Linked DNA regions of Ovis aries. The protein of the gene in region 1 interacts with the protein of each later gene in a biochemical or structural test. Links are inferred from orthologs where the notes say so. Each region holds a gene or a part of one and is shown in the gene's direction. Other genes may lie near its edges.

Region 1 (3,650 bases):
AAAATCATTTGAGTTGTAGACCTAAATAGGGGGATTTAGTGGGACATAAATTTACACCTCAACTCATAAATTTCTCCAAGCCAGGCTTCAGCAATACGTGAACCATGAACTTCCAGATGTTCAAGCTGGTTTTAGAAAAGGCAGAGGAAGCAGAAAAATATCTTATTTCTTCTTTATTGACTAAGCCAAAGCCTTTGACTGTGTGGATCACAATAAACTGTGGAAAATTCTGAAAGAGATGGGAATACCAGACCACCTGACCTGCCTCTTGAGAAGCCTGTATGCAAGTCAGGAAGCAACAGTTAGAACTGGACATGGAACATCAGACTGTTTCCAAATAGGAAAAGGAGTCCGTCAAGGCTGTATAGTGTCACCCTGCTTATTTAACTTACATACAGAGTACATCGTGAGAAACGCTGGGCTGGAGGAATCAGAAGCTGGAATCAAGATTGCCAGGAAAAATCTCAATAACCTCAGATATGTAGATGACACCACCCTTATGGCAGAAAGTGAAGAAGAACCAAAGAGCCTCTTGATGAAAGTGAAAGAGAAGAGTGAAAAAGTTGGCTTACAGCTCAGCATTCAGAAAACTAAGATCATGGCATCCAGTCCCATCACTTCATGGGAAATAGATAAGGAAACAGTGGAAACCGTGGTTAACTTTATTTTTCTGGGCTCCAAAATCACTGCAGAGGTGATTGCAGCCATGAAATGAAAAGACGCTTACTCCTTGGAAGAAAAGTTATGACCAACCTAGATTGCATATTAAAAAGCAGAGACATGACTTTGTCAACAAAGGTCCGTCCAGTCAAGGCTATGGTTTTTCCAGTGGTCGTTTATGGATGTGAGAGTTGGACTATAAAGAAAGCTGAGCGCCGAAGAATTGATGCTTTTGAACTGCGGTGTTGAAGAAGACTCTTGAGAGTCCCTTGGACTGGAACAAGATCCAACCAGTCCATCTTAAAGATCAGTCCTGGGTGTTCATTGGTAGGATTGATGTTGAAGCTGAAACTTCAATACTTTGGCCACCTCATGTGGAGAGCTGACTCATTTGAAAAGACACTGATGCTGGGAAAGATTGAGGGCAGGAGGAGAAGGGGACGACAGAGGGTGAGATGGCTGGATGGCATCACCGACTCGATGGACATGGGTTTGGTTGGACTCCGGGAGTTGGTGATGGACAGGCAGGCCTGGCATGCTGTGGTTCATGGGGTCACAAAGAGTTGGACACAACTGAGTGACTGAACTGACTGAAATTTACACCTCAAAAGTTCTTAAAAACAGAAAAGCATAGACATATTTGACTTCCATTTGAAAGAGGTGTATGAGGTTGCAGAGATGGGCCAGTTCATACATAAGAACTGCTTTGAAAAGGTTGCCCCTCCTACACTGCTTGCCCATCAGCAGGCCCACCTCCCTCTCCTCTAAGCTTACACAGCGCTGCTTGTGTTTTTGTTACAGCTATTTTCCACAACTGATCCTGTGGGTACTTTACTCCAAGTTCCAGAACAGGTTTCTGCTCATCTACCTCAGCCAGCAGGGCCGACGGCTGCGCAACCCACTCAAGTCTCCCTGCCACCCACTGCAGAGCCAGCGATAGCAGCTCAGGTACAGCAGGGCCTGCTTTCTTCCATGGTCAGCCTTCTGGGTGGAGGAAGAAGGCGGAGGCTGGCGTGCAACACCGCCTTGTGCACTAAGGATGATGTCCTGGTAGATTCTGAAGCAAGTTAGAAATTCTGTTCTCACAGTTTCACGTGTATGCAGATAAGAGAGTTTAACAAGGATCACACGGTTCGTTTTTTGAGCACCAGAATAAGTTAATGATGGAAATATCCCAAACAGCAATAGTTTGGGGGATTGAAATTTCTTGTCAGCTTCCTTCCTGTCTTCCGGTCTCAATGCCTGCCCGCACCCCCAAAGGGAGCCACTCACAGGATATGCCACTGCTCGGCCTTGCACACCTGAGGGACCACCTAGTGAGCTCCAGGAGTGCCACAGGAGGCTGGGCGAGACGCTTGCACACTGTCACGGCGGGACCTTCTCGTAACAGTGTCTGCTGCTTGGACAGTGGACCGAATGAGAAGGGCTCCCCTGTCTTGTCAGCTTTTTGTTATATCCTTGTTCTGCTCAAGGTTAGAATGCAGCTGCCACTGAGGAGCACTGCCAACTCTTCTGTCGTCTTTGTTAATACTGTCTCCAAACCGTGGTTTTCCTGCGCTGCTCTTTTTAAGATACCTGTCAGTTTTGTGGGGTTGATTTTATTAAAATGCCATAAAGTGATGTGTGAATCCACCCAGTCAGGCACACATGACCTTATTGAATCAGAAGGTGCTGTGAGTGCTGAGGGAGTGAAGGCCCCCTGAGAAGCGCCCCGCCGCTGCTGTGCAGCCACCACTCTTCCCCTGGGAAAGCGCAGTACTGTCTGCAACATACGCCTGTGCTCCATGGCGAGAGTACCAGTTCAGAGTCCACGCGTTTATTAAACAGTAGCAGTGTTTTTATTTTGTTTTTTCTAAAATTCAGGTAGGAAAAAATAAAAATAGAAGGTCAGATGTTTTCATCTGCATCCCAGCAGTACTCTGCCTTTGGAGACCACTGCTCTGAGTGCTTCCAGACTAGAGTCCTGACTACATTTAACCTTTCCTTTGCCTAAGCTTTCCATTTCTGCCCATCATATGGGAAAGGAGATAGTCATCTTATGAAAACTGATGAAAAGATTGGATTCATTTTATAAACAGCCTAAATAGAATGTACATCCTCCAGTAAGCAAGGGACAGCTCTATGGTTTTCAGAGGATTAAAGATCTGGAACCTCCAGGTTGGGTGGTTTCCTGAGCAGCAGCCAGTTTAGGCCTTACTACAGATGTGTGGCCAATGGCAGGTTTTTTAAAGGGAAAATCCAGTGTCTTGTTCTTCACTCTTAAAGAGGGGAACAGAGGTCTGAAAAACGCAAAATTGAAATGTGACTGTGTATGGCATTTCATGTAGGTTTGACAATGATCTTTCCAATTGTGTTTGACTCAGACTGACATTCAGCTATTGCTGCTGCCTTAGGGTGCATGTCCTCCCACAGCAGGGAGTCCTGGGGACTAGGATGCCCACACCTGGAGATGAAGAAAATTGCTGCCACGTGGACGATTCATCTCTTAGACGAGCATCAGTCACCACCACACTCAGTACTCCAGGCAATGACTTTATACCTTTCAATGCTTTTTAGGCTCTGTCTTCAGGAGCAGGTTCACAAGAAACCAAGATCCCAATCAGTCTAGTACTAAGATTACGGTAAGTAAGACATTTTGTTGTTGTTCTTTTCTGAATACTCTGAATGTGCTGATTTCTCTTTGGAAGTTACTCCTCCTTCTCATAGTGCATGCCTGAGAGTAACTGGATAGAACTGTGTGTGTTTGCTTTCGGGTGTATTATTTCCCTCAGATATAATAGCAGTAGTGTGAGGATCTGAGTTACCATTGACTCATTCCTCTTTCCACATGTGAATTCCTAGTCATCTCAGTATGACCATAATTAGAGCAGAGGCAGCAAGACCTATTTGGGGAATGTTCTGGGGGTTTTTTGAACTAATTATTTATTTTTTGGAGAGGTGGTTAAAATTCAGAGTTTTATTTATTTTTTTGAACTTTTTTTGTATTGGGG
Region 2 (3,650 bases), on another chromosome or scaffold:
TTTGTAACCTTCTGTCTACCTGCCACACCCCCTGACTGCCTTTCTGTCTGAGGCCGGGCGCGGATCTGTGCTAGGAGAAGAGAGCGGCAGATGCGTGGGCGGGAGTGGGTGGGGCTACGGGGCGGGGAACCTCCCAGTGGTGGGCTCCCTCCCCATCCTCTGTATCCCTCGCTCTGACCCTAGCTGTGCGCCCTCCCCTAGATACCTGAGGCGGTTCCGTGAGATGAAACCACGAGTCCTTCAGCGCTGGAGCCGCCAAATCCTGCGGGGGCTGCATTTCCTACACTCCCGAGTACCCCCTATCCTGCACCGAGATCTCAAGTGTGACAACGTCTTTATCACCGGCCCTACGGGCTCCGTTAAGATCGGGGACCTGGGCCTGGCCACGCTCAAGCGCGCCTCCTTCGCCAAGAGCGTCATCGGTGCGTCCCTCCAGGAGGATCCTTGTCATTCCTACCCTCCCTCCCCTTCCCCTGTCTGGAGAGAGCCTGGGGACTCCCTCCCCCAGTAGATTTAGAAGGGGGTCAGAGTTAGAACCCCCCCACGGAGTTAGAAGACCACGGGGAAGATGAGACTTGTAGCGTGTCCTCTTCCCCACAACCCCCCCACCCAACATACACACAAACACACACACACACACACACACACACACACACGACGGGAAGGGGTGGGTCTCTTGCACTCCAGAATTCGCGCGGTTGCCCCCACCCCCACTTGTACTTTCAAGGAGAGGGACGAAGCCAGAAAGGAGGTACTGACGTCTGCTGTGGATCCTGCAGGGACCCCGGAGTTCATGGCCCCAGAGATGTACGAGGAAAAGTACGACGAGGCCGTGGACGTGTACGCGTTTGGCATGTGCATGCTGGAGATGGCGACCTCGGAGTACCCCTACTCAGAGTGCCAGAATGCTGCTCAAATCTACCGCAGGGTCACCTCGGTGAGAGGGAGGAGAGGGAATCACAAGGCCCCCTTCCATTTGGCTGCCCAGGCCACCCCGCGGTCAATGCCCTTTCCCTTAATGAAAACGAGGTAGACACAAAGACGCCCCGGTGAACACTGAAGGTTACTGGATGCACTCACGGCCCCTCCAATTCAAGCTGTTTAGAATAACGATGTGTGTAGCGCTCCCTAGAGATTACCGATGATTCAAATCCAATCTCTCATCCGATCCTGTTCCCTGCCCCGCGGGGTGAGCAGGGCAAATGTTCTGCCCTGCATTTTATAAATGAGGACACCGGCTCAGCGAGAGCCTGGTTCAAGGTCGCACTGTCGATACGTGTGTGTGGGGGGGTGGTGGGGTCGGGGCGGGGGGACTGGGATTTGAAATCACAACTTCTAAACGTGTACCCGGTGCTTTGGCAACTGCAAGCGCTGCCGCCCCGGGCTGGGGCGGGGTGGGAGGGGGAGGTCAGCAGAAAGCTGGGGCACAGAGAGCCGGAGGCCTCATGCAACTTCATTCCCCAGGGCACGAAACCCAACAGCTTCTACAAGGTGAAGATGCCCGAGGTAAAGGAGATCATTGAAGGCTGCATCCGCACGGATAAGAATGAGAGGTGGGTGGAGGGGGCAGGGCGGACGGGGGTGGGGTAATGGCGGGGGGAGCGGGCGGCGGTGGGGCTCTGCTCAGGTTGGCACCGCCCTCAGGTTCACCATCCACGACCTTCTGGCTCACGCCTTCTTCCGCGAGGAGCGCGGCGTCCACGTGGAGTTGGCGGAGGAGGACGACGGAGAGAAGCCGGACCTCAAGCTCTGGCTGCGCATGGAGGACGCGCGGCGAGGGGGGCGCCCACGGGACAACCAGGCCATCGAGTTCTTGTTCCAGCTGGGCCGGGACGCGGCCGAGGAGGTGGCTCAGGAGATGGTGAGCGGAGGACAGCATGCCTGCCGCGTAACTGGGCGTGTGAGGGGCGTGTGGATCTCAACCGGAGAGGCCAGTGCCTTGTGGGTGCGATGTTTGGGTGGTGGGTTGTCTGGGTGGTGGGCTCAACGAAGCCCTCTCCGAGTTTCCTACGAGTGTCTCCCTGCTGCCCTCTCCTTAACGCACCTGCGGGCACACCTAGTGTTCTCCTCAAGTCAAGTCAAAAATTTCCTTTTCCGGCCCTGGGTCCCTCAACCTCCCTGTTTTAATTTCCTTCTGATCCGGCTTTCCCGAATTGTCCTCTCTCCGTGTTATCTATTTTTCCCTTTCTTGTTTCCCCGACTCCATCTTTTTCTTGATCTTGCTTCATGCTCGGAACCGTGCATTTGAGAAAGCCTGTCCGCTCTAGAGTTAAATGCTTCTTTCCATTTCATCAGGCCCTCCATTACTGAACGGGTCCCCATCAGTCTTATTTTATACCAGGATACATTCCCATCTTTCTCCTCCACAAGACTACAAGGGCTTGAGGGCAGAGACTGTGTGTATTGACCCTTCTGCCCCTGACAGTGCTTAGCACGTGATGGGAACTATTAACCACCCACATCTTAGAGCCCTTTCATGTGCATCTGATGGTTGTTACCAACCGTGCATAGAGTGATTTTATCTGATTTACTGCTGAGGAAATGAAAGCTCAAAGAAGCTGAATATCTTGTACCAGGTCCCAAGCAAGAAAGTGGCACAACTGACTCAGGTTGTTCAGATTTTGAGTCAGTTCATCCTGCCCCACCTTTACCTGCCCAGTGAAGCTTGTTATTGAAATGAATAAGGATAATGAATAGAAGCTGGTGGACCAGGAGAGGCATATATGAGAGGCAGAAGATATGGGGGTGGTCTGAGGTGGGAAGGGAAAGAGTATGATATTCTTGATGGGAAAATGCAGTTGAAAATGTGGGAATCATCTGTTGGTGGATCTGGGTCAAGAACCTAAGAATGTATTTGAAATAAGACATAGAAGTCAGTCTCTGTAGCCCAGCTCAAACCTGACCTGAGATTGGGACCTGGTCCATTACATACAGAAGTTCTTGACTTTAACACTAGTGACATCATTGTTCAGGAGACTCTGCCATACTGTTGTAGGTTGTTGAGAAGAATCCCTGGCATCAACTTAGAGGATCCCAGTGGGATCACCCCCCAAGTTGTGACAACTAAAAATATCTACAGATATTTTTCTCCACCATCCCCCCAGAGCAATTGACTTAGAGTATAACCTTGAACTGGTCACTTACTTTACTTATTTCTAAAATAGAGTTGATAAGACCTATCTCAGAAGGTTGCTGGAAGGATTTAATGATGATATGGTAAAGAGTTGCCAGTTGGATTTCTCTGGTCCAGTGGCTAGGACTCCATGCTCCCAATGCAGGGAGTCCAGGTTTGATCCCTGGTCAGGGAACTAGATTCCACATGCTGCAACTGAAGATCTTACCTGCCACAGCAAAGATCCAGCGCAGTCAAGTAAATAAATGGCTTTTTAAAAAATGCCAGTTGTGGACACAGTGCGTAATCAATATATGTTCCTTTTCATGTATATCCTAGAGGCCTCAAGAAGGTGTCCTGATGGGGCTTTGTTGAGGGATGGTGAATCTCACCTCAAACTGTGTTCCTCACCCTTCCAACTCCAGGTGGCCCTGGGCTTAGTGTGTGAAGCTGATTACCAGCCAGTGGCTCGTGCAGTGCGTGAACGGGTTGCTGCCATCCAGCGAAAGCGTGAGAAGCTGCGCAAAGCTAGGGAGTT

The links. The genes of interacting proteins can lie anywhere in the genome.
Region 2: the proteins of OXSR1 (region 1) and WNK4 are reported together in a solved structure, tested with the Homo sapiens proteins (2 studies listed by BioGRID and IntAct, with this or other methods). The link is inferred for Ovis aries from reciprocal best matches to the Homo sapiens genes OXSR1 and WNK4.

The regions. Positions count from the first base shown.
Region 1 is NC_056072.1:11,735,357-11,739,006, forward strand, and holds part of OXSR1 (serine/threonine-protein kinase OSR1), read left to right. Parts: intron 1-1,461; coding exon 1,462-1,608; intron 1,609-3,216; coding exon 3,217-3,281; intron 3,282-3,650. UniProt on the Homo sapiens protein: Effector serine/threonine-protein kinase component of the WNK-SPAK/OSR1 kinase cascade, which is involved in various processes, such as ion transport, response to hypertonic stress and blood pressure.
Region 2 is NC_056064.1:42,548,879-42,552,528, forward strand, and holds part of WNK4 (serine/threonine-protein kinase WNK4), read left to right. Parts: intron 1-201; coding exon 202-422; intron 423-779; coding exon 780-937; intron 938-1,464; coding exon 1,465-1,553; intron 1,554-1,644; coding exon 1,645-1,861; intron 1,862-3,537; coding exon 3,538-3,650. UniProt on the Homo sapiens protein: Serine/threonine-protein kinase component of the WNK4-SPAK/OSR1 kinase cascade, which acts as a key regulator of ion transport in the distal nephron and blood pressure.